3 linked regions of the Styela clava genome follow. The protein of the gene in region 1 purifies or fractionates together with the protein of each later gene. This does not show direct contact. Links are inferred from orthologs where the notes say so. Each region holds a gene or a part of one and is shown in the gene's direction. Other genes may lie near its edges. The genes, in order: enhancer of mRNA-decapping protein 4-like, 5'-3' exoribonuclease 1-like and enhancer of mRNA-decapping protein 3-like.

What was found.
Region 2: the proteins of enhancer of mRNA-decapping protein 4-like (region 1) and 5'-3' exoribonuclease 1-like purify together in Homo sapiens (co-immunoprecipitation; 4 studies listed by BioGRID and IntAct, with this or other methods). This does not show direct contact. The link is inferred for Styela clava from reciprocal best matches to the Homo sapiens genes EDC4 and XRN1.
Region 3: the proteins of enhancer of mRNA-decapping protein 4-like (region 1) and enhancer of mRNA-decapping protein 3-like purify together in Homo sapiens (affinity purification with mass spectrometry; 6 studies listed by BioGRID and IntAct, with this or other methods). This does not show direct contact. The link is inferred for Styela clava from reciprocal best matches to the Homo sapiens genes EDC4 and EDC3.

Annotation. Positions count from the first base shown.
Region 1 is NC_135262.1:19,088,998-19,097,628, reverse strand, and holds the start of enhancer of mRNA-decapping protein 4-like, read left to right. Parts: upstream 1-4,929; 5' UTR 4,930-4,989; coding exon 4,990-5,080; intron 5,081-5,322; coding exon 5,323-5,387; intron 5,388-5,548; coding exon 5,549-5,604; intron 5,605-6,436; coding exon 6,437-6,548; intron 6,549-6,631; coding exon 6,632-6,731; intron 6,732-6,819; coding exon 6,820-7,003; intron 7,004-7,288; coding exon 7,289-7,481; intron 7,482-7,884; coding exon 7,885-7,995; intron 7,996-8,631. UniProt on the Homo sapiens protein: In the process of mRNA degradation, seems to play a role in mRNA decapping. Component of a complex containing DCP2 and DCP1A which functions in decapping of ARE-containing mRNAs. Promotes complex formation between DCP1A and DCP2.
Region 2 is NC_135252.1:5,381,526-5,389,448, forward strand, and holds the start of 5'-3' exoribonuclease 1-like, read left to right. Parts: upstream 1-4,353; 5' UTR 4,354-4,573; coding exon 4,574-4,648; intron 4,649-5,292; coding exon 5,293-5,424; intron 5,425-5,873; coding exon 5,874-5,974; intron 5,975-7,021; coding exon 7,022-7,229; intron 7,230-7,735; coding exon 7,736-7,893; intron 7,894-7,923. Other genes in the region: uncharacterized protein LOC144420883, read left to right, coding at 2,747-3,163. UniProt on the Homo sapiens protein: Major 5'-3' exoribonuclease involved in mRNA decay. Required for the 5'-3'-processing of the G4 tetraplex-containing DNA and RNA substrates. The kinetic of hydrolysis is faster for G4 RNA tetraplex than for G4 DNA tetraplex and monomeric RNA tetraplex.
Region 3 is NC_135253.1:11,259,949-11,268,181, forward strand, and holds enhancer of mRNA-decapping protein 3-like, read left to right. Parts: upstream 1-4,580; 5' UTR 4,581-5,020; coding exon 5,021-6,403; 3' UTR 6,404-7,221; downstream 7,222-8,233. Other genes in the region: palmitoyltransferase ZDHHC16-like, read left to right, coding at 7,299-8,233. UniProt on the Homo sapiens protein: Binds single-stranded RNA. Involved in the process of mRNA degradation and in the positive regulation of mRNA decapping. May play a role in spermiogenesis and oogenesis.

The DNA of each region.
Region 1 (8,631 bases):
GGGCCCTTGTCGATCTCACGTCCCTTCCCACGACTTTTCTATTGTATGAGATTCCCTGAATATGGCCAAGCGCTACAATCGGCATTTCCGATGTTACAGGGTTTTCCATTGCGGTGCTGGCTGGGTAGAAATAGATAAATTCATGAAAATTTCCATGTTGCAACCGTCCCGCGGCACATCATTATAATTCGATGTAGCCTAATTAGAATTACCGCTAGGTCATTACATAAAACAAACTTTTTTGTAGAGGAATCATACAATTCAGGATACTACAACAGCTCTAGAGTGAAAGCTAGTCTTATATATATATTCATGTGAAATTCCTTTCCTATATAGGCTATACCAGTGGTTCGTTTCATTTCGTATTTTGGGGATTAGGAATTTACAAGTGGGTTTTTGCGTCTATAATACAATAGCGAAGGTTATCTCGCAGTCTAGTAAAACTACAGGTTAGACGGCCTACCGGGGAACTATTTTGACTGGTAGATTCCAAATTCCATTATGATCAAACAATTCATGCACAAGAAAATGAATACAATGGACCCCGCGATCTCAAATAACCTATTCAGGCAATGAAACAGTGGTGAACGCTGAACAGGGAATTTTATTTTCAACGGAAAGTATGCAAACAAAGTCGCTTTTTTTTCAATTATCAGCCATGTGTCGTGGCCCCCCTTGAACTGCTTTGTGGCCCCATTGGGGAGCCCCCGGCCCCGGGTTGAGAACCACTGGGCTATACCCAAGGCGATAGCTCTGTAAAACCAGTTCCAGTTCCACCAGTGGCCATTCTCATCGTCTTGTACTGATTAATTCAATTCATTAGGTTGTAATATTTGCACGGATGTGGCATTTTTGGCGCCAACAAAGATTTCAGGAACCTCGAGGCAAAAATAAACACTCTGTAGGTTTCAATTAAGATACTCTCTTGTTACCATATAAATTGCGATTGTGCTGCAGCCATCGCGTGAGATGCAGCATATGTCGCGATTCGCTGTAAAGCGAGATTGGCATTGTATTCACCACCATAGAATGCACAATTTCTATAATCAGAATTGTAATCATTGTCCACTCCATTCAAAGTTTTGGTGCCAAATGGATGTCTCACATTCTGTGCACTCGAAGCAGTCATGTGTGCACTGATTGTCGCACGTATTACAAGCATACATATTTTTTATGAATATGAAGTTATCTGCGTGGCAGGATGATGCTAAAATACATGTGAAATATATCGAATATGATAAAGACAAGGAATAAAGCGAGATATAATTCTCAAAGCTAAATTTAATTAAAATATTTGGCCTAAAGAATGGGATTCGGATTAAAGATTTTTGTCTGCCAATATTGAAGCGAATCATGTTTGGACCATTTTCTTAGATCAGGGTAGTTCAAGGATGTCGGCCTCGCGGGCCACATTATTCTTTTTGTATTGTTCGCGGGCCACAATAGTGCCAAGAATAGGTAAACAGTGCAATGGGCTACAAAACAAACATTTTCATTGTCCAAACACAATATTTATTATTTGTCATTTATCAAACTAGAACATGTAAAATCCACCAAAAAACTCAATAAAACGTGCAAAAATCTTACTATATCTACATTTAGTGTAAGATTTCAAACTCACGACAAAGAAAGTTTTACGTTTTAGTTGTTTGTTTGAATTAGTCATCTTTCTTTTCAAACCGATGTTTCCAAAATAACTCACTAATGACTGCAGATTGATTGATTGTCGAATTTTACCAAATTTGAGATACAGAAGGGTAATTAGCAAATTTTCTGGGCAAACATATGGGCAGCAAATTTTGTAATACTGTTTAGGTTGGTTGCGAAAAAACACCCGGCTAGAATTATATTGTTCGGCCATTACATTAATACCTAGTTATCAGACATAACCAACCAAGACTATTAGGTTCCTCGTTTGATTTTTAGTGTTTTATGAAGCCTATTTTGTTAGCATACATTCCCGACAAAAAAGGAAGCCAGTCTACAATATACACTAGCCGAGCAAACTATACAACTTCGATAGTTGCCTCAGCTAGCCATAACACTAGTCAATTCAGTAACATTAGTGATGTAACAATATGCTAAAAGTTTTTCTGGTTATTTTTATGAGTGTGATTTTTTGTTTTTCCTTGCGACGCGGGCCACAGATAATGAAGAGGTGGGTCACTTGTGAACCCGCGGGCCTGGGTTTGGACCACCCTGTCCTGGATTATTAACATCGCTCTCATATAAATTTTCTTCTAGAAAACCTATTCGAACGGTACAATCCCCACATTATAATTATACGCCGTAAAAACTTCCAATCTACCGACAACAAATTTATATCAGCTGTTTTACTGGGTTTCCTCTCGCCCGGGATGAATATGTACAGGTATATCCTATTCAATAAATAAAAAAAACGTGGTTCGCGTACCGGTAACCACTGATAGGTTACGGGTTCCTGCACCATCAAGTACACGCATCTGAAACTAATAACTGGTCAACTATTCCTACACCCGACATGAACTGGTAACCGGACTTGGGGCAGTGGTTTTCCATATGCTTGAGTCTTCTTATCGATATTCTTCTTCGCGAGATAAATATGAAAATCTTATTATACTGTAATATTCGCATTCATCTACAATCTGAACAACTGCCTGTTCTTAACGTTGTTACGAAAGTAGTGTTGTTCTTCATGAGCACCCACAAGATGTCAATCTCGTGCCTTCGGTTAAACATAAAACCGGCGCAGACAACGGATTTTTCGTTCGTTCAGTCGTTTGTCAATTTTGCGTCTGTCAATACTGCAATATGATTACCTGAATACCTAAATACAGGTAGGCTTGTGTCATTGTTTATATGTTCCGAGTTACTTCGTTTATTTCCATATCTAGCCTGCAGGCCTGATTCAAGAAAAGGGTGGTCGCAATACTCATTTGGGTAGTCTATCTCGTGTTTTGTTCTGCATTTTTTGTTGTACTTTCTTCAGTTCTTAGTTTCTTTTATTTGATTGTGTTTAATTAAGTACCGGTATATGTTTAATATTGTAATATTCATTCCTAAGTCATTCCCGTATTTTGTGTTATATTTTCTTTGTGCGATTGTGTTCATTTACAGAATTTTGGAATTAGGTTAAATGTGTACCGTAATATTCGGATATTGGCTCATTCCATTGCTATATTCAGATATTTGCTGCTACAATTCAGCTACAAGTTATTGCTGACTAGGTGACAGGACCCGTCAACTAAAACAAGCCGATATCTGTTTTTGTAATTCTGTAATTTGTGATATGTAATTAAATTATTTTTTCATAATGCTGTAATGTGTACTGCGCATAGGGCAGTAGGGCCATTGCCATACCCATACAGCCATAGGCCTACTCCAAAGACTGAAAGACAGCAAGAAACCGATTTTATTACTGGGAAACCGAAGTTACAATCTCTTTTTCAAACATAAATAACCAACCATATACCTGTATACTGATATAAAAATCACATCAATGTTTGGTAGCACTTGTACATGCAGACATGTATACAAATAAAGAACTATGTTTTGTAATTACTTATGAACTCTGACATTCTGGATTACTGGTACTGATGTTCAGTAGAAGTGTGTCTGTGTGTTTACTCCAAATAGCCGAAATAAGCAAGAATATGTGTGACACCACTAGTACTGTAGTAATTAATGGGTCTGGTATAATTTAGTACCTCACGTACTTCTGTAGCCTACTTCTAGTTGACCTGTCCCAACAATTTTTGCGTATGTCATTCCTAACCCCCACCTGACTATGTCATCCACATCCAAAAATTACGTCACTACGTCGTCACAATGACGTTATAAGGCCCGCTCACTGGAAGTACTTGTGGTAATAAACTATACTAGACCCCAATATTATCTTGTGTAGCTGTGCAGTTTTGTCTTTCAATTGTGAATGGAAAATAGGGTACGGCTGTACTGGTATCATGGATTGCAAAAAAAAGTTGTTGACATTGCTTCATGTGTATAAAGCAGAAAAAAATAATAATTCCAGATGGAAGATGGATTTCATCATAATCGAGTCAGTACCACATATATAATGTGTGTGTCTTATATGTATTTAAACTGTAAATACAAATAATGTACAGATAATAATGTTCCACATTGACTTTAAAAAAGCATTTGGTATGTTACCCCATAGCTGCAGTCCCTCAAGAAAGCTTTGTTGAAGCTGCTGACGCTTCCTCTGCAAATGTTTAATTCAAACAGATCAGTTTTGATTAAAGTCTATTGCCCTGGAAAGAAAGTTTGGGGTCTACCTTAGTGCCTACTCACTGCCAAGTGCTGAAGTGATACATAATCATTCGAAACTTATCAAAAACGAATTATTTTATAACATTGCCATTTTTTTAAAAATAAATTGTTTTGGTCTTCTGTCATTATGGACAGACACAAAAATGTGACTTGAGCAAGCTAATTTGATTCCACTAATGTGGCGAATTATCTCTTGATTTCATACTTTACAAACCATTGTTTTGCTCCATCATGGAGTAATGGTTTAAAATTGGTCGCATGCAGAGGTTTCAATAATCTTTTAACTTTCCTCAGAGAAGAGTTGTGTAGGTATGGGTATCTCTGCATTTGTTCAGTCACATATTCAATTTTTTCCAGGGAATTTTGTAAGCTAATTAATTACTTAGCTGCTATCTTGAATATATAAACTGAACTTCATTTCTCAAACAAATTACACTCAGTCAATTACATATGAGAATTTCACTATTAATTCTTGCAAAATAGCTAACATTGTGATACATCCATGTGTGCATGTTGAAAAACATGTTTGCTATTTTTGTAATGCAATAATCAGTGACTTTTCGAAGCCGAGTAAAATGCTTCTTTTTAATAACTGCTGATATATCAATATATATTTGGATCATCATCTTACTTACATACATTGCCTTGATTAAATCTATTCCTTGACATTATTTGAATCTTGAATTGAGCAGTTCAAACAAAATAATAACAAATTAATTAATGGATCTTTCAAATGGAAAAGAGGAGGAATCTGCAGATGTTCTCACTAACCAACTGAAAGGAATGTTGAAAATTAATGGAAATTCGGGAGGTCAGTATTTAATAAGATTAAATATAGCCAGTGATGCAATTCAAAGTTTTAAAAAAAAATTTTGTGCTAAACTCTGGTTTCCTTATTTCAAAAAATGTATGTGTCACTAGTTTCAATGTAAGCTACATTAATATCATGGCATGCTTCACATAAATAGGCTATATAATTTTTTATAAGTGTAACACAAGTCCTCTTACAAAATGCAATTGAGAAAACTGCAGCATAACTATATCTGTTTTCAGATTCTGAAATTCAAGAATCAGAACCCTCACCTAAAACAGAAAATTCTGAAGTCGATTCAAAGAAGGTAAAGTGGCAATACTCAAAATAATAAAATTTATTTTAGTCATATCTAAGTATGTTATAATCAAATAAATTGCTCATGTTATATATCTGTAATATGGGATTTGATTTTGAGAATTGAACAACTTAATGATTGAATATTCTCACAGATATTTGTTATTACAGGATGCTGTGGAAGAAGAACCTTCCGGATCATTGGATGTGGGTGGTTCTCAAAGAATGTAAGTAAGACTGAGAAAATATAGTTCTATTTTATATATATATATGTATAGTCATTCCATTTAAATGACAATTGTAGTATATACAGTTTCATTTTCTATTTTGATATATCCACATAAGTGCACTCCAGAAGTGTGTGTACCAATATGGAGGTAACTAATTTTGTTTGCCTGATTACATCAAGTTGTGTAGAGGGACTAGAGCTTATGGGCAGGGGGTATATTCACTTGGCTAACACAGACAGTCCCCGAACTCTTAATAGAACTAAAATAAGCAAAATCGGACTAAAAGTATGGTGTAACCCTAACCTGGTACACACACTACCCACATAAGGGCACTTGTGTTTCAATCACATCATGATAAATTTACAGGAACATTATTAAATCATTCATACGAAATCCTACATATGGCTCGTTATCTACTTCAAGGAAAACCTACTTAATGCAGCTTCCTTTTGATATTGCCTAATTGTATTGATTCCTAATTGCTGGATTCAGTGCTTTGACTTTGGTATATTTGATTAAACCATTTAAAATTGATTTTGCATGGCATATTAATGTTTTATATAGTTTTATAATATGATAGTCTTTTTGCAGTTCTGTATAACTGGAAATTTTAATGTGTAAATATCATATTCTGAAAAAATGTACGCCATTAGGTATGAATATTAAATATTGTAGTATGCTTTTCAAGTCAGTTTCCAAACGAGTTGAATTTCAATACATGTGTCTAAAAAAATATCAAATTTAGTATTCTATCACTGCCATTCTGTTCTGACATGAGAATACGCAATTTTATCCATATATAAATATATTTCATTTGTATATCATTTAGTGATCTGTCCCAAGTAAAAGATGGTGAATGCGTTTCCATATATGGTGATCAAGTCTCAATAATAACAAGCGGAAATGCCGATATGGAAGCAGATACCTCTGGAAGTGACAAGGTGCGAAGTTTAGTTATTATCTGCAATCTTGCTCCCTGTGATATTATTTATCATATTTTTTGATTATCATTGATTTTTTTCAGGTCAGAATTAGTCCAATCACAAAGTTTGAATGGGAACACAAATATTATCCTGGAACATTGGTATCCGTAACAAACGACTATACAGCATATGCTATTAAAAGTATGTTTTCATTATATGTTTATGAATTTGTGAGACTCTGATGTAATTTGAATTTTATTCGTATATTGAAATTTTGAAAATTGTTTAGGTCGATCATATGCAGTTCGTGTCATTAGTCGGAAAAACACATCGGATCGTTTGTTACTACGTGGATTTACTGCTCCAGTGTGCGATGTTGCTTTTGCTCATCCGACATCTTCTCTCATATCAGCAGTTGATGAAGAAGGAAATTTTATAATTTGGCAACTATCACAAAATGGGGACAGCACTATGTATGTCAACAATAAGTGCTTGAATATCAAGCAATTTCTGTAACGTTTCGCCTGACCAAAATCAGACTTCCTCAGGTGTGAGGAAGTCTGATTTTGGTCAGACGAAACATTACAGAAATAAATTTGTGTTAGTGTGCAGCAGGACTCAGCATGGTATTTTTATTCTTGCCACAGCATCCTTGCATTATATGCATACACTAGTACAAATGCATTGAGAAAGGATTGGGAGTTAGTCTTGTGCAATCTCTACTGATAGTTATAATTTCTATTACTAATAATATTTAGGTCTACGAAAAAACTTCATGTGAAGTCTTCAGATCCGAGTGCTAGCCCGTATCACAGATTAGTATGGTTAACATACATGCATTGTGAAATAGATGGCACTAATCCGGAAGAAGAATTATTGAAATTAGATGATGACACGGAGGCTGATCCACTAAATCAGAGGAGACTTCTTGTTGTCACTCATGGAAATATTGTGAGTTTAGTGTTGATTTCTTGCTCATATTGATGATATTGAGGGTTTTAAGGCAAAATAATAAAAATTGAAATTTCAAATTTTTTTTGAATATCTCCAAAGAAATAGGTGCTATAGTTTGAAGCAATATTCACCAAAGTACCCCAAAATCACAAATAAAATTTTTTTTTATTGGAATGGCTTTTTCAAAATTCTATAATATATTGACTAGTGATATAATGATATATGGCCAAGTTTATAATTAGATTTTAGCATTTTTAAATGTTACAAACAAAATTGTGCAAACTTCGAAATCAAAACAAATCTAAAATAATATCATGCATAATATAGATGATTTTCATTCTCATTTGTAAGTAACCTTTAATCTTATTATATTTGTATACTAATATTCAATTCTATTCAGGTTGAAATATGGGACATTAATTGTGCATTTGAAATAGCTCACGATGATGAAAATGAAACTGACAGATCAAAATTGTCATCAACATTTATGACAATAAAGGGACATGATGATGTAAGAGAGAATAATAACTTGATATTTTAGTATTTTCCTTTCAAAATTGAATTACAGTAGCTATATAGACTGGCGCAGTGTGTTGATATTGTAATATTTGTACTATTTCGTTTTGTCTATTTCTGGCAACACTGCCTGTTAACTTCTTTCATTGTTATTGTTTTACGCTTCATTGATTTTGTATCTGCTGCTGGCTTGGGATGATTGCAGCATGGGTGCTGTGCAAGCTAATATATATCTATTCTGATCGTGTAATATAAGGTTGTATTATATGATAATAGTCGAATTAACATTGGTAGCAGAGGAAAATGACTGCAAAACAACTTCAACCACCAAAGTTTGGTGAAGATTTGACCTACATGGAGTGGGTAAATAAACTGGACATGTGGAAAGCGGTGACTGAGATACCGGTGAAAAAACAAGGAATTTTGGTGCGACTTTTGTCTTTAGATGGCAATTCTAAAGCTGAAAAGGCTGTTTCTGATCTAACAGCGGATGAACTGAATGTGGATGATGGTCTAAGCCTACTTATTGAAAAATTGGATGTTGCTTTCAAATCAGAGAAGACTGATTTAGCCTATGATGCATATACTGCATTTAATTCCTACACTAGGCCAGCCGGTCTAGCAATGGCTG
Region 2 (7,923 bases), on another chromosome or scaffold:
TTTGACAAGCTTTATAACGTGATTGTGACGTCGTAATGACGTAATTTTTGGATGACATAGTCAGGTGATGGTTAGGAATACGGTAACATATGCAAAATTCGTTACGCTACGACCACCGGAAGTACTTGTGGTACTAAACTATACTAGACTCCGTATGCCGGCTTGCAGGTCTGTTGTAGTGCTGAATGTATCTAGGGTTGCCAACCGTCCTTTATTTCAAAGGACAATCCTTTAATTACTGAATTAAGCTTTTCGGTCCTTGTCCTTTTTAGCATTTAGAAAAGATGCTGATTGTCCTTTATTCTTTCCAACGTCGTTTTGCCCGGAGGAGTAAAAATCGCCTCCGTTTATGTATTTGCAAGCTTTGAATTATTCTTTTTAATTTCGCTTTAGTCCGGCTCAAATAGCCAAATAAATAACAATTTTATTAACATTGTTTGGGCCAATGTTAAATACACATTAAATGAAAAACACATGAAGATTGCTTCAATATATCTTTTTAGCTTGTATATAATTCTTATTTCATTGTTTATATTGTACTTTCCTGCAAGTTACAAAATAAATGATGACGATAATTTATGTCCTTTATTGAAACTTTTCATAGTTGGCAACCCTAAATGTATCCCTTTTTTATGAGATCAGGAGATTGACTCAACCCAGCGAACTTTTTTGAAGTTACCACCTTCAGACATTGTGACACTGTTAGTGTTTTTCCCATTGTACTGTATTATTTAGGAGGCGCATGTTCACAAGCACTTACGTGGTAATTCGTAAAGGTTAGCACTTCATCAGTTACTTTTTTTCTGTTACTTTGCATATGTCTTAATTAACTGTTATGAAACTTTGAGGAAATTCAGAAATTATCTGTTAGCTCTCAATGAACCCTTATTTTTGCAAACAACTCCACTGTCAGACTATACTCCTATAAGCTTTGTCAGCTTTTATAACAGTGAAATCAATCAATCATTTTGGTTCTCTGACATAAACAATACAAAAAGTAAACAGACAAACAAAATGCAGAGATACTTTGGAGACGGGCATAACTTGAAAAAAGTTAAAAAGTGTACAATGTACATGCCCGCCCAGCAAAAAAGAATAGAACAACCACAGAAAAACGTGATTTACAATCGGGCAGTACTTTAAAAGCAAGTTAACAAAAACAGCAAATTGAAGTGAATAATTGAATGTAATAAACTTCTACCTTTTAAATTGAAATGTGCGACGTGTATGGGCTATGGGTGCCATGCCAAGTGACACTACAGGACAATTCCCAGAAATTTTGCACGTTGTTAGATGCAATATATTTTTACATTTTCAGCTACATGTTTTTGTTTCATTGTCCAATCAATTGCTTCATTGAATACTGGAATATGGAAAAAATTGCACAAAAGTTACACACGAGACTTACTAAAAAATACAGTAAAATATAGCGTGACACTAGAGGACGGAAAATCCACCATGGATTAACGTTACATTGTGTTGTGCTGTAAATTTTTGTGATGGCACGGCAGGAGCCCATAATATTTTCTGGTGCAGTAGCTGAAGGACCCCCCTATGTGTTGCTCAAGTTACTTAATGTAACACTGTAAATCTATGCCAATAATGTTCATCTTGTATGTGACACTGCAGGACGTGACATTACAAGACATTTTTCCACTTTGGAACAGCGGCCTCTATCATCTCTTAAAATCCTGGTAATAAATCGTTAAATGGGTGAGAAAAAGCCCTAGAGCACTGCAATCATTTAAACTTTGTTAACTTAAATCCAGTGCGTCTATTTCATATGAAATAACTGTATCACACAAACACTTTGTGTCAGGAATCATCACGAAATATGTCAATTATACCAGAATTTCTACATTTCAGGCCATTATTTTTATAAACTATCAAAAACCTGGGTGAAATTTCAACTTTTTCGGTGAAATGGATGCAGTCCATGAATTTCTAATGTTTTTTGATATAAAAAAATTCAAAAAAATTACTTTCACTAAACTTTAGAAAAATTTGATGAAATTCAACTTTTGCTTGGAATGGCCCGTATGTGTAACACAACAGTGCTTTTCCTACGAAAAACATGGAACAAAAAACACTTCCTGATGCAAAATGGTGGTGCTGTAGGCCTAGGTCAATTTCATTGCAAAAACAACACAGTGACAAAAAATTGTTCCTAAAAAAACAAGCTTGGTAAATAGATTGAATGTTCCATAGCAGTCTATGCACAAGTCATGGATTGGGGAATCGGGTTCTTTTGTCGTTTTCGATTAGTTCAATTTAAAATCATTGTATCCGTTCCAATGCATCCAACGTCAATATCAAATTTCCACGAACGACCACTACTCCAAAAGGTGCAGTGGTCCCATCTTTTCTGCGCTCCCTTCCATCATCAACAACCAGTTTCATAAAAGGATCGAAACCTCGCAATATACCCGTAACAGATCGTCCACCATTTAACTTTAAATCCAATCTTTTATTCATAAATCATGGCATTGTTCTGATATTGTTTGCTTGCAGAAATATTTTTCCATTTCTATTTGCTTCACAAAATTATTGTTAAATAATGAAATAAACAGTACACTATATTTTAGTATTTTGGCATATTCCAAGTATTCACTCTTACAATAGTCTGATAGTGGTACCGCCTTTATATCCAGATATATTATACAAGTAGATCTGGAGAATGTATTTAATCATTCCTTACTTGTTTAGTTAGCAAAATATTTTTTTAGTAATTAGAAAATAGATAATCATGGAAGAAGCATTAAACAAGTTCGAAACTATGGTTGGATCGGCAGAGAAGAAATTGGACAATATTGAAAAGAAAATTGATGCTGAGTTTTCTAAACATTTAAATTGTGAAGATGATGATGACGATGATGCCGAGAATAAATTATCTCTTTTGAAAAAATTAGAAGAAGTCAAAGCAGAATATTCAACCTTGTGTAAAGAAGCGGCAGAAGTGAGCACAGCGCAAAGACAGATGGCTGAAGCATTTCAACAAGAACTTTTAGCTCAAGTTAAGCAGTTACAAATGCTCCAAGATCGTGGTTTTACTGGATCTGATAGAAGATTAGATGGTGACGCAGAAGCTGCTGTAAATACTTTTGTTCAAAAATCTGATGGACAAGATAGTAGTTTAATGCAAAGTGCAAATGAAACACGATGATACAGGTTTTGTTAACAGCAAACTATAATATAGCTTTGATAATAATGCACTTGGATCATTAAAATGTATCTCATTGTCACAAGACTGTCAAAGTAAAATGGAACGAAGATCTGGTGATATGCCTTGTACTGTTGTATGATAAGAGTTACATAGTACACTGCCAATAGAATAAAAAGTTCACTGAAGTCCTAAAATCCCTATGTAATTCGTGGATAAACTTCTATTTTACATGACATACGGTAAATGGATATTATCCACAAAAATGTACAATACAGTATATTTTATCAGTTATATGATAAAGTTAATATTGCATATTATGACAGAGAAACAATAACTACTGAACGTTTTCGAAGTGAATTCAAAATATTGTCAAAAGTAATTGATACGTTCTATGTTGGAACAATTTGTGAGATATATTTAGTTTTAAACTTAACTTCTATTATTGAATTATTGATAGTTTTCATGTAGTGGACTATTACGGTAATTGCTTCTCGCATATACTTTGGAGATCCAAACTCCATCTATACACTGTACAGACATCTGTACCCCAATACAGGAATTCCAAGAATAGTAAGATGGCCTTCTAAGCTACACTTTTGGGTATTATCAAATAATTTGAAATATTAATAATAGTCAATATATAGAAGTCTAATTTCATCAAGGTTTCAAGTTTGTGGTTGTTTGGAAATCTTACCTTTCATGATTTTTTCTTTTTGGCGTAGTAGCTATATACAAAGCTTTTATGAAGTGCTTTAACACTTCACACTTGATGTCAATTATCAACATTTACTGTAGTCTGTGTTATGTTCATGGACATCATTTTTGTCATAGGCACTATTGTGTTCACAGAGATATGTGAGATATGGGTGAGGCTCAATTCAATTGTTATCTGTGTTTTGTAACTGACAGTCGACAAAAATTTGAAGGTCATATTAAATTTCTTGAAACGCTGAACTTTTAGTCATGGTTATTTCAACATTCAATAAATGCCGGTTTTGTGTGTTTTTTTAACTACTTTCACTTATTTTTCATGATATTCATGAAGCGTTGGGTTTTACATTTTGTAATCAAACTAGGCTTTGATGACGAGAACATGGGTGTTTCCAAGTTTTATCGATGGATCAGTGTTGGATGTTATTTTTGTCATAGGCGCTATTGTGTTCACAGAGATATGTGAGATATGGGTGAGGCTCAATTCAATTGTTATCTGTGTTTTGTAACTGATAGTCGACAAAAATTTGAAGGTCATATTAAATTTCTTGAAACGCTAAACTTTTAGTCATGGTTATTTCAACATTCAATAAATGCCGGTTTTGTGTGTTTTTTTACCTACTTTTACTTATTTTCATGATATTCATGAAGCGTTAGGTTTTATATTTTGTAATCATATTAGGCTTTGATAACTAGAACATGGGTGTTCCCAAGTTTTATCGATGGATCAGTGAAAGATATCCGTGCCTCAGTGAAGTGGTGAAAGAATATCAGGTTTATTGCTATTAAGTTACTTATTATGATACTATGTTCAAATTTTCAAACTGCTATAGGAATAGCATATTGCCGTTGTCCAATAATATTGTGATGTATTAATATCAAAATCATGGTTTATCTTGTTGTGAATCAGAGAGTGACACAAAATAATATTGTAATAGCGTTTTGAAAAATAGATTTTTGGATTCACGCTGTGTCCTTGGTTAGAAAAATGCTAGCTAGTTGTCTATCTAGATCAGGAGTGTGCAACCTTTAATACAGGAGGGCCAGATACAAATAACTTGGTGAAACTGCGGGCTGCACCTGTATTTGACATAGGCTTTCTAGTAGTTGCAGGCACAAAATTCTTGATTATCTGATCTCATGACATGCGAACTACAAACTAGCTGTTAGTGCACTGTAACGTCATATGCTGGGCGTTGCAGCGCAAAGGGATTGGAATTACTTGCACTCACCAGATTAAACTAAATTAAAACTCGTTTCTCTGACCGCACATCATTCAAAATTGGAACTTCTCTGCGAGCCGCACAAGTTTTCCTTGTGGTCCGCAGGTTGCACACCCCTGATCTAAATCAATAGAATCTATTTGTTTGGATTATCCAATATGTATATTGATTCACTATTTGAATTTATTATTTTAGGTTCCAGAGTTTGACAATCTGTATTTGGATATGAATGGTATCATTCATGTTTGTTCACATCCAAATGATGATGATCCTCATTTTCGAATTACCGAAGAGCAAATCTTTAAAGATATATTTCACTATATAGAGGTACTTGCTGTGCAAATTCTTTACTTCAAAGTTCATTGTTTATTTCAGTCTGTATGATTGCGATGTCTACTATATTTGATATATAGCACATAGTATAATCTTAAAAAAGCGTCTAAAATGAGCAATTAACGTAGGATATGTTGACCAAAAAAGGGTTCTCTCCACTTTTTATAACCGTGTGTTGTTTTAAATAAAAACTCAATATAATTTTCTGTATTTTGACGAAATTTCTTTCTCTAAACTTGACCATATTCGGAAATATTCAAAATTTTCATACATAGACTTTATTCAAAACATATTTTATAGTATGGTGTTTACCAGCAAGCCTGCCATATGGACAGTGCCTTAAACTTCTTGACATTGGCTAGCTTTAAAAATAGAGATTGACAGAAAATGCTTTTGTATTAAAATTTCAATAAAAATCCTTTCAAAATTTCATGTATGTACAGGTTTTATTTCGTATTGTTCGTCCAAGAAAAGTGTTTTTCATGGCAGTCGATGGTGTCGCTCCACGTGCAAAAATGAACCAACAAAGAGGCAGAAGATTTAGGTTGCACAAATTATTCATGTTTACAATGTTTTTTTCTTTATTGCAAGTAATCCATGTAACCGTGTAACATTTGTTCAAGCAGAAGTTGTGTTGTATTACAGTGCTGCCATGTCCAAAACAAATAGAATATTTTTGATTACATTCAAAGCACACAGAGAAAACAATGACCTTTTATATTTGTGTCGTTTTAGATGTGATCAACAATGTAATTTCCGACATAAACTTTCCCCAATTTAGAATGTAGTCGATATTTCATATTCAGAAGTCATTTCTCTGAATGTATTCGAAATAGTAAAATATTCGGTTTTAGCCATCCCTGGCACTAACTCTTCCTGTCTGGTAGTCAGCATGGTCACAAAGAATCTATCTATATCAGTGGTTCGCAACTTTTTTCGATACATTCCTCTTTTTGCCTAGTCTGGCTAGGTTGCACAGTTTGAATAGGCTTTATAGTTTGTTCATAATTATGGATTACAAGGATATTGAATGAATGAACAATACTAGTAAAACTACATCGAATACAAAGTAATATTTTTGTATCTCCTTCCCGAAAACAACAAAAATTTCTCCCTGGAGATGAATTCTTTCTCGGCTGGGAAACACTGGGCGGGCTAAATAGTAGCTGATTTTATCTAATCATACTCTTTATTGGTATAGTGCTGACATGGGCAAACTACAGCCCGCAGGCCAAATCCGTTGGGTAATTTAATCCTGCCTGCCTGATGCTGCCACAACCAAACTAAAACCAAATTTTGATGTTTTAGCTAAAGATGAACTCAAGAAATTTGGTGAAATTTCGATTACATTTAGTTTTGGCACAAGCCCTATTGTTTTCCACATTTGCTTTTGTAACACTGTAAATATTGTTCATAAAATGTAACTTTTTACGTCACACTTAAGTGGCTCGTCAGTGTTGGTGAGCAAATATTTTGCCCCCCGGTCCAAAAACGTTGCCCACCCCTGGTATAGTGTGTTTAGGGAAAATTCAACTTATCAACTCTACAAGTTTCTCTATAAACTGAATGCTATACCTCTTTGACAAATCAGATCAGCCAAAGAAGCAGAAGAAAATATTCAAAAGGCATTGAAAAAGGGTGAAGTCCTACCTGATGCCAAAAGATTTGATTCAAATTGCATTACACCTGGTACTAAATTTATGGTTAAACTTCAAGAGCAACTTGAATATATGGTGAAGAGCAAAGTGACTACAGACCCAGCATGGCAAGGAATCAGGATTTATCTGTCTGGTCATGAGGTGTGTTGAAAATCAGAATTATCATATTTAAATTATGAATAATCTTTGTGGGTGCTCTTTATTGTGAAGGGTTGCCATGGCACGATACACATCTCTGGTTCAAATTCCATGACCACCATCTGATCCGGGGAAAGCTTTCGGTCTTTCCAAAAATAATAGCTCCTCACTAACGTTAGATATCGGTGGATGCTTGCACAGGGCATTTTTCAGAGGGAAACGAGTGAATATCTATGTTTGAAAATGTTACTAGATGTCATGTAGATAGACATTTACATATTCGTTTTTAGTTCTTCCATTATTTGACTAGATTTCATAATTTTTTGCGATGAGTGTCCTAATTGAGTGTACGAAATATTTTCGCATTTCATCAGTATTTCAAAGTGTATTTCGGCTCTGTTTTTTAACCCCCAACTTGCACTTTTACTTAAATACTGGTGTAGTAGATGCGCATTCTCATCCAAACATATCTTTCTATAATTATTTCTAACTTGTATCTTTCATTGCAGACGCCAGGAGAAGGAGAACACAAGATCACTGAATTCATAAGACATGAACGCATGCAATCTCACTATGATCCAAATACAAGACATTGTTTATATGGACTTGACGCTGATCTGATGATGTTAGGGTTGTGTTCACATGAACCTCATTTTTCACTACTCAGGTGATGAAAACATTTTTCATACTATTGCTA
Region 3 (8,233 bases), on another chromosome or scaffold:
TACCACCTGGGCTTTTTGAAAAAATACCGCTTTTGACACAATTTTTGACGAGCTTATTATTTCACTGTCCTATATGGCGGCATTGTAAATAATTAAAAGTATGACTCGCTCGAATCTACTTTTAGAAAGCATTTTAATACTAACGAAATCTATTTAATGGGAAGAGGAATGCTAACCACAAATTTTTAATAATATAAATCTTTTGAGGGGAATTTGAAATTCGAATATTCAAAGTATGTTACTCTCAATTAATTCTTAAGAATTGAAAGCCGAATTGAAACACCATATATATTTAGAAGAAGAAGAAGGACTTTACCTTAGTAACAGTTCATTGTTTTCATCAGTTCGTTTTTTGATCAGGTTTTCCACCTCGAATATATATATATATCATGTTCTATGAGAGTTCATTTCGATTGTTCGACAACACAGTCCATATTCATAATTTTAACGTTTCCATATTTTATTCGATTTAATTCATTGTTTCGTCATGATGTTTTGATTGTTCCGGCTTGTCAGCAATTTGATCCTTGAACGCTTTTGATGTGTATATATATGGTTTCTCATCAATCGTTGAGAGCTGCGGAAAGAAAACAGAGATATTAGATCAGCATGGGCCCCAATTTACGACTAATATGGTAGATGATGGAAAGGAAACTTATCTTTCGCTTGGTCAGCTTTTTGGTTGATTTCGTCAAATTGTTGCCTGTCCTGGTGTTGTCCGTACTTGTGGTTGAAACCGGTGATCCGGTCTGTTTCAGAAGGTTAATTCCAGTCGGTTTTGTCACCATTTATAGTGATTTGTTACCACTACACATAAATTGTTTGTTGACTGATCATCTTTGCGGATCATGACCCCAGTATTGACTGACAATAATTTTGTCTTGCGTTCGTTAACTCGAACTGTACATCTTTCGATAGCCTTCGGCCGTGGTAAATTGACGTTTGAAACACCCTATGAGTTTTATTCGTATATAGCAGTAATCTATGGATGATAGAAATAAATTCTGAGATACATATTGTTAAACTACTTCCGTAACAGACAATAAAATAGATGAATATGTAATCCCATATTTGATGTTAGTACGATGTTAGTTGGCATATATAGGTGGGTCAACAGCTACTAGACTACAGTCACTCTTAAGTAAGTTAGGCATTTTTGATACCAATTTTTCACAAAGTATGCAAACACCACATCATTTGATGGGATGCATGTCGCGCATATTTGTCTTAGGCCAGTAAGGTATTGAACATGTATCCCGTCTTAATTATTTTGTAGATACTGTTACAAATAAACACACATACATTTTACCTTGAATTCATGCTAAGAACAGGCCGAACTACTGTTAACGAGCAAAAAATTCCCCTCGTTTGTTTGCAAGCACTTCGGCGCGTTAAAGAACTTTAGTAAATACCAACGACTGGTGAATACCGATTCTCGGTAAAATGATAGAAGAAGGCACTTTACGAGACGTCTGTTTTGGCGCGCAAAAAAATCTCTCGAATATTAACGATACTTCGAGAATACCACTTTTGCCTTTTACGAGAAAGTGGGTGCTCTACTAACACGTTACGGTTAAACGATAAAGAAGTTGGGCGAATGGGGCCCCAGGTCGAGTATGGGATTAGTTAGCCAGTTTTTTTGTTTTCGGAAGCATGGACTTGATGGTGGAGGAAGCCGTAACGGACCATCGGTTACGTGAACCACCCTACGGCGGTGAGGAGTCCAGCAATCTTCTCGCACATTGTCATCCTGCATGGGATTCGAACCTGCGAACCCACGAATGGTAGTCAGGTGGGAGTTAGGAATACCATATGCAAATATGTTTGTGCCACATCAACTAAAAGGAGGACGGACTAAAAGTAGGCACTTGCAAATTAGGCACTTTTTTAGGCACTTATTAGACACTTTGGAAAAAAAATAAAAAGGGCGTAATACCTTTTAAAAACATAATTAATTAGTTAAAAATGGTCAAATGAAATGTTGAAAACGCAAATTGCAACGGGCAAACTCAATAACAATATTTAAAACGTAGTATTAAAGGCAGTCGCACGCGCTTGGTCACTACATATGCTAGGCACATATTTAGGCACTTCGAAAAATAAAGAAAATGGCAATTATCTCTAATAAAAGACAGAGACATAAACATATTACCCACACTGATTAGCCTGGGTAAATATCCAATAGATGCACTTGAGTCTAGTACTGGAATTTAGAAATAATAAATTGTTACCGGTAGGCACTTATTTAGGCACTTCGGAAAAAAGGTGAAATGGACGTAGTAGCTCCTAAAAAGGTAATGAATTAGTTCAAAATATTTAAATTAAATGTTGAACGCGAAAACTGCAACAGTTAAATCCAATAACGATTTTTAAAACGTAGTATTAAAGGGAGACGCACGCGCTCTGTCTCCACGTATGCTAGGCACATATTTGGGCACTTCGAAAAATAAAGAAAATGGCAATTATCATTAATAAAAGACAGAGAAATAAAAATATTACCCACACTGATTAGCCTGGGTAAATATCCAATAGATGCACTTGAGTCTTGTACCGGAATTTAGAAATAATAAATTGTTGCCGGTAGGCACTTTTTTAGGCACTTATTTAGGCACATCGAAAAAAAGGTGAAATGAGCGTAATAACTTTTAAAATGATAATTAATTAGTTGAAAATTGTCAAATTAAATATTGAACACGCAAATTGCAATGGGTGAACCGAATAACAATATTTAAAACGTAGTATTAAAAGGAGTCACACGCGCTCGGTCACCACATATGCTAGGCACATATTTAGGCACTTCGAAAAAAGAAGAAAATCGGAATTATCACCAATAGAAGATAGAGAATTCATTATTCTAGGAGTTACTACGGCCATTTCACCTTTTTTTCGAAGTGCCTAAATAAGTGCCTAAAAAGTGCCTACCGGTAACAATTTATTATTTCTAAATTCCAGTACTAGACTCAAGTGCATCTATTGGATATTTGCCCAGGCTAATCAGTGTGGGTAAAATTTTTATTACTCTGTCTTTTATTGGTGATAATTCTGATTTTCTTCTTTTTTCAAAGTGCCTAAATATGTGCCTAGCATATGTGATGACCGAGCGCGTGTGACTCCTTTTAATACTACGTTTTAAATATTGTTATTCGATTCGCCTATTGCAATTTGCGTGCTATACATTTAATTTGACAATTTATAACTAATTAATTATTATTTTAAAAGTTATTACGCCCATTTCACCTTTTTTTTCAATGTGCCTAAATAAGTGCCTAAAAAGTGCCTACCGGTAACAATTTATTATTTCTAAATTCCAGTACTAGACTCAAGTGCATCTATTGGATATTTACCCAGGCTAATCAGTGTGGGTAATATTTTTATTTTCCTGTCTTTTATTAGTGATAATTGCCATTTTCTTTATTCTTCGAAGTGCCTAAATATGTGCCTAGCATATGTGGTGACAGAGCGCGTGCGTCTCCCTTTAGTAATACGTTTTAAAAATCATTACAGTATTGGGTTTAACTGTTGCAATTTTCGCGTTCAACAATTAATTTAAATATTTTGAACTAATTCATTATCTTTCTAGGAGTTACTACGTCCATTTCACCTTTTTTTTCGATGTGCCTAAATAAGTGCCTAAAAAAGTGCCTACCGGTAACAATTTATTATTTCTAAATTCCAGTACTAGACTCAAGTGCATCTCTTAGATATTTACTCAGGCTAATCAGTGTGGGTAATATGTTTATTCACTGTCTTTTATTAGTGAATATGCCATTTTATTTATTTTTCGAACTGCATAAATATGTGCCTAGCATATGTGGTGACCAAGCGCGTGCGACTGCCTTTAATACTGCGTTTTAAATATTGCTATTGAGTTTGCCCGTTGCAATTTGCGTTTTCAACATTTAATTTGACCATTTTTAACTAATTAATTATGTTTTTAAAAGGTATTACGCCCTTTTTACTTTTTTTCCAAGGTGCCTAAATAAGTGCCTAATTTGCAAGTGCCTACTTTTAGTCCGTCCCAACTAAAAGTACGGTACTTACCGCTTTTAGTGAACCTGCGACGACTAAACTGGGGGCGGGTCTCATGTAGTTTCGTACCTAACGTACTTCTAGTAGGCGTAGCATAACAATTTCTTCACATCTCAATCCTAACCCCCACCTGACCCCACCATCCCAAAATTACGTCACTACGACGTCACAGTGACGTAATAGAGCCCTTCAAACTATGCGAACTGTCATCCAAGACGCGCAGACGAGAACCCGAAATCGAACAGCCATTTCTCTCGTTTTCTCCTCGCAACGATCCCGATAGGAGAGAGATCGCTGACGTTAGTCATTTCTTTATCGTCGGCGCCGATGCTATTTCGGGCGATCGTATGAGTATTTGGCAAGCTCTATGACGTGATTGTGACGTCGTAGTGACGTAATTATCGGATGGCGTAGTCAGGTGAGGGTTAGGATTGGCATGTCAAAAAATTGTTATGCTACACCTACTAGAAGTACGTTAGGTACGAAACTACACGAGACCCCTGGGGTCTGGTGTACGGTACGGTAACATTAGCGAAGTCAGACTGTACGGTGTAGGTCTCTGTGCGTTTATACTTTTGGACGGACAACTCACCAGCGACACCAGGCTTCTGCCTCTCACTCTCAGCCTTTCTGTAATCGAGTTGTCGTCTCTGGTGTTGCTTGTTTACTCAGTTGTCCGTCAGCCTCATACCGTAGATCAGTAGATTGAAAAATTGTTTCATTTTTTGAAAATATTGATGTACTGTATTTTATGATAACAACACAGACATAGTTATTCAATATCTGTATATGCATTTTTACGTTTTGGATTTTTTTCTTTTTCCTATAGCCTAATGCTTTACCGGTATATGATTATAATATTTGAATATACTTTAATTGATTGATTGAACTTGGGAATGTTATTTTTTCATTTACATGATCATTTGATGGATACATTGATTTTGTAGGCCCTATAGCCTAGTTCTCTTCCAGTGTTCAGAAACCGAAAGTCATGACATCTTACGTTGGTTCCAATGTTACAATAAACTGTGGGGATGTAATAGGTCATTGTCAGGGAATCGTGAAAGAAGTAGACCAAAAATCACAAACAATTACAATTTCCAATCCATATCGAAATGGTTTTAAATGCCCACATAATGAGATGACAATTCCGTCGTCTGATATCGTAGAAATCACCATCATTGATGGCCTTCTTTCAACATTGGAAACTAAGGATAAGAAATCCCCAAAAATTGGGTTATCAAGTGTAAAAAAAGAAAAAAGGCCTAAAAACAATGAAAGCCGACAAGTTGGTATTACAGATAGAATACCAATGCATTCTAGTTCACCACAACCTGGCTCGGAGTATAAAGGTGGGAAAAAGTATTCAAAAGTACGGAAGGGTTTATATAATCGGGATGACGATACGTTTGATAACAACCCGCAAGATATGACTGAAGATTTCGATTTTGTCAAGAATCTTGCTCTTTTTGATAAACTTGCTGTATACAATGAGATAAACTCTGGAAGTGATGGAGAAAGTATGAGAACTCCATCAAAACAGAGACATAGAAAGGTTGAAGAGAAATACAAGCATGACGAGTTCGTTCTACAAAAAGGGCCTGTAATATACCGACAAATAATAACAAATGAGGTGACCAAATACGAAGTTTCAGAATATTACACAGATGCAGGACTTGTAGTTCCCACTATTTCAAATGATACCTACATACAAATATTGCATGCTGCTGAACTTATGGGTTTCGGAATGGATAGACAAACTGAAATATTTGGAGCTAATGCAAGTCTCATGGCTCTATCTGTATTGGGTGGCTGTAATAGGCTTCATCCAAGAAATTCACATCAGCCCCCATCTGCAGTTGTAATGTGTGGGCCTCATAGAACAGGTGCTCAAGGTGTTGCAACAGCGAGGCATCTTTCAAATCATAATGTAAAAGTGAATGTGTTCATGCCCAATTTTGTTAAAATACATGCTTGCCTACAAGAAGAATTAAGACTATTGTCTCTAACAGATGCTGTTGTTATTAGCGAATATTCTGAATTACCTACAAATCCTGTTGATTTAATCATTTCTGCGATGGATGAAGAAGATTGTGAATTTTTATATCAGCAATCTTGGTATCAACATTCCGTTCGTTGGTGTAATGAAAATCGAGCTCCTTTAATGTGTCTCTCTCCACCAGCTGCATTACCTCCAGATTTGCATATAAAATGGTCTGTGTGTGCAGTACTGCCTTTTTCACTTTCAGCAAAATATGGTGCTTTATACATGATTGATGTAGGAATACCAGTGAGAGCATTTGAAAAACTAGGAATTCAGTATCAGTCGCCTTTCTGTGGTAAATCTTTCCTTCATTTACACAAAAGTAAATGAGAAATGTACAGTACTTGCTTTTTTAATCTTTTAAATGCATTTTGTACCGGTATAAATGTGAGTGTGACCTTGGTCATTCGTATATTAAAGGTTTACCATCTCTTGGAAAATGTGCTGGTTAAATAAACATATTTGTTTTTTTTTTGCTCCTTCATTCCATTTCTCAATTTTTATCTTCCTTTTATTAATCTCAATATTGGAGAAAAGGGTTGACAGATGATAATATGGCACCTTGTAAAGGTTTTTATGAATGTTTGATAACCAAGCAAGACTCCACCCAACTATATGTGTGTGGATGGAGAGTCCAAAAGATCACCACTAGTCCACACTGCAGCTAAATATAAATACGATGCCATCAGCATATTAAAAATATCCATCTCAAGAAATGACATTGCAATGTTTGGTACTTGACTACAGTGTATAAATAAACAGTTTGCTGAAGGGAATTTACTTATTTCTCCTTGAAATATACTTACAGAATACAGAAAAAATCTCATCTAGTAATTTTGTTATAAACTTGGTCATTGTTAACGCCTATATTGGGGATCATTTTTTTGCTTTAACAAACCATTTTTGCCATTTAATTTATTCATTCCACCCTTTTCTGTAGATTGATTGTATTTATAAAATGCTGTAGTAAATGAATGAAGAATTTCTACTACCGGTACTTGTTTTTTTGAACTGGTCAGTTTTAGCCAGTATTGGGTACTTACAATGTATCACCTAGTTCAATACTGATTTCTTTGACAAAATTCCATTTTCTACAGTTGTTTTTGTATGACAATGTTCATCTAATGCTATTTTCATTTTTCTGTAGATTTATTATGGGTTTTTTAAAGCTAATTTATAATGCTGAACTAGTTAGTACCTTGTAAATAGTCGATGTTCCATCACAATGAGGATTCACTTTAGACGTCCAGATTTTTCCGGAATAAAATTGAGATGGAGATATCTGAAACTATGTTACCTATCATTGACTTATAACACCTATTCATCTGCAACAGAAGTCCTTTTTGAGCCCATCATAACTCTAGTGGATTTTGTTTCAAGATGGTTTGGTTTCGCCTTTGTTACATTGGTGACAATACTGGTTGCATATGTTGTTGTGGTTTATTACTCAATTGCAGTACCATATCTCATCTTAGCATTTTCATCAATACGAGCTGGAATAACTATTTTCTACGGACATTATCTTCTAATCATGATTAGTTTTCATTATTTTAAAGCAGTCCGTACCAATCCAGGAAGACCACCCAAAGATGCTTCAGAGAGAGCAGTAACATCTGTATGCAAAAAATGCATTCTGCCAAAACCACCAAGAGCACATCACTGCAGTGTTTGCAAAAATTGTGTTTTAAAAATGGATCATCACTGTCCATGGATCAATAATTGTGTGGGTCATTATAACCATCGATATTTTATATCATTTTGTATATTCATGTTACTTGGTACCATATTTGTGGTAACAACAACATGGCCAATTTTCACAGAATGTTTTAGTTTTCATAACAGAATGCAATTCGCCATGGATTATTTAAAAGATTTTTTTATTGAGGATATTTCTGATGATGAGAATGAAAATTTAGATTATATGAATGAAAATCAATCAAGTTTAAACAAAAAAGATATTAGTAATGCTTTACACCCGAAAATAGAAATTTTTTCTCATGTAGTTCCAGTTGCTCGACATGGAAAATCTGCAGAAGACACTGGTGAAATATTCCAATACCTTTATAGTGTTTGTTACACTGCCAATTCAGGAGCAAAAGGCAATTTGATATTTCTTTGGTTTTTGTGTGCTGGGGTAACGGTCGCCCTTGGTGCTTTAAC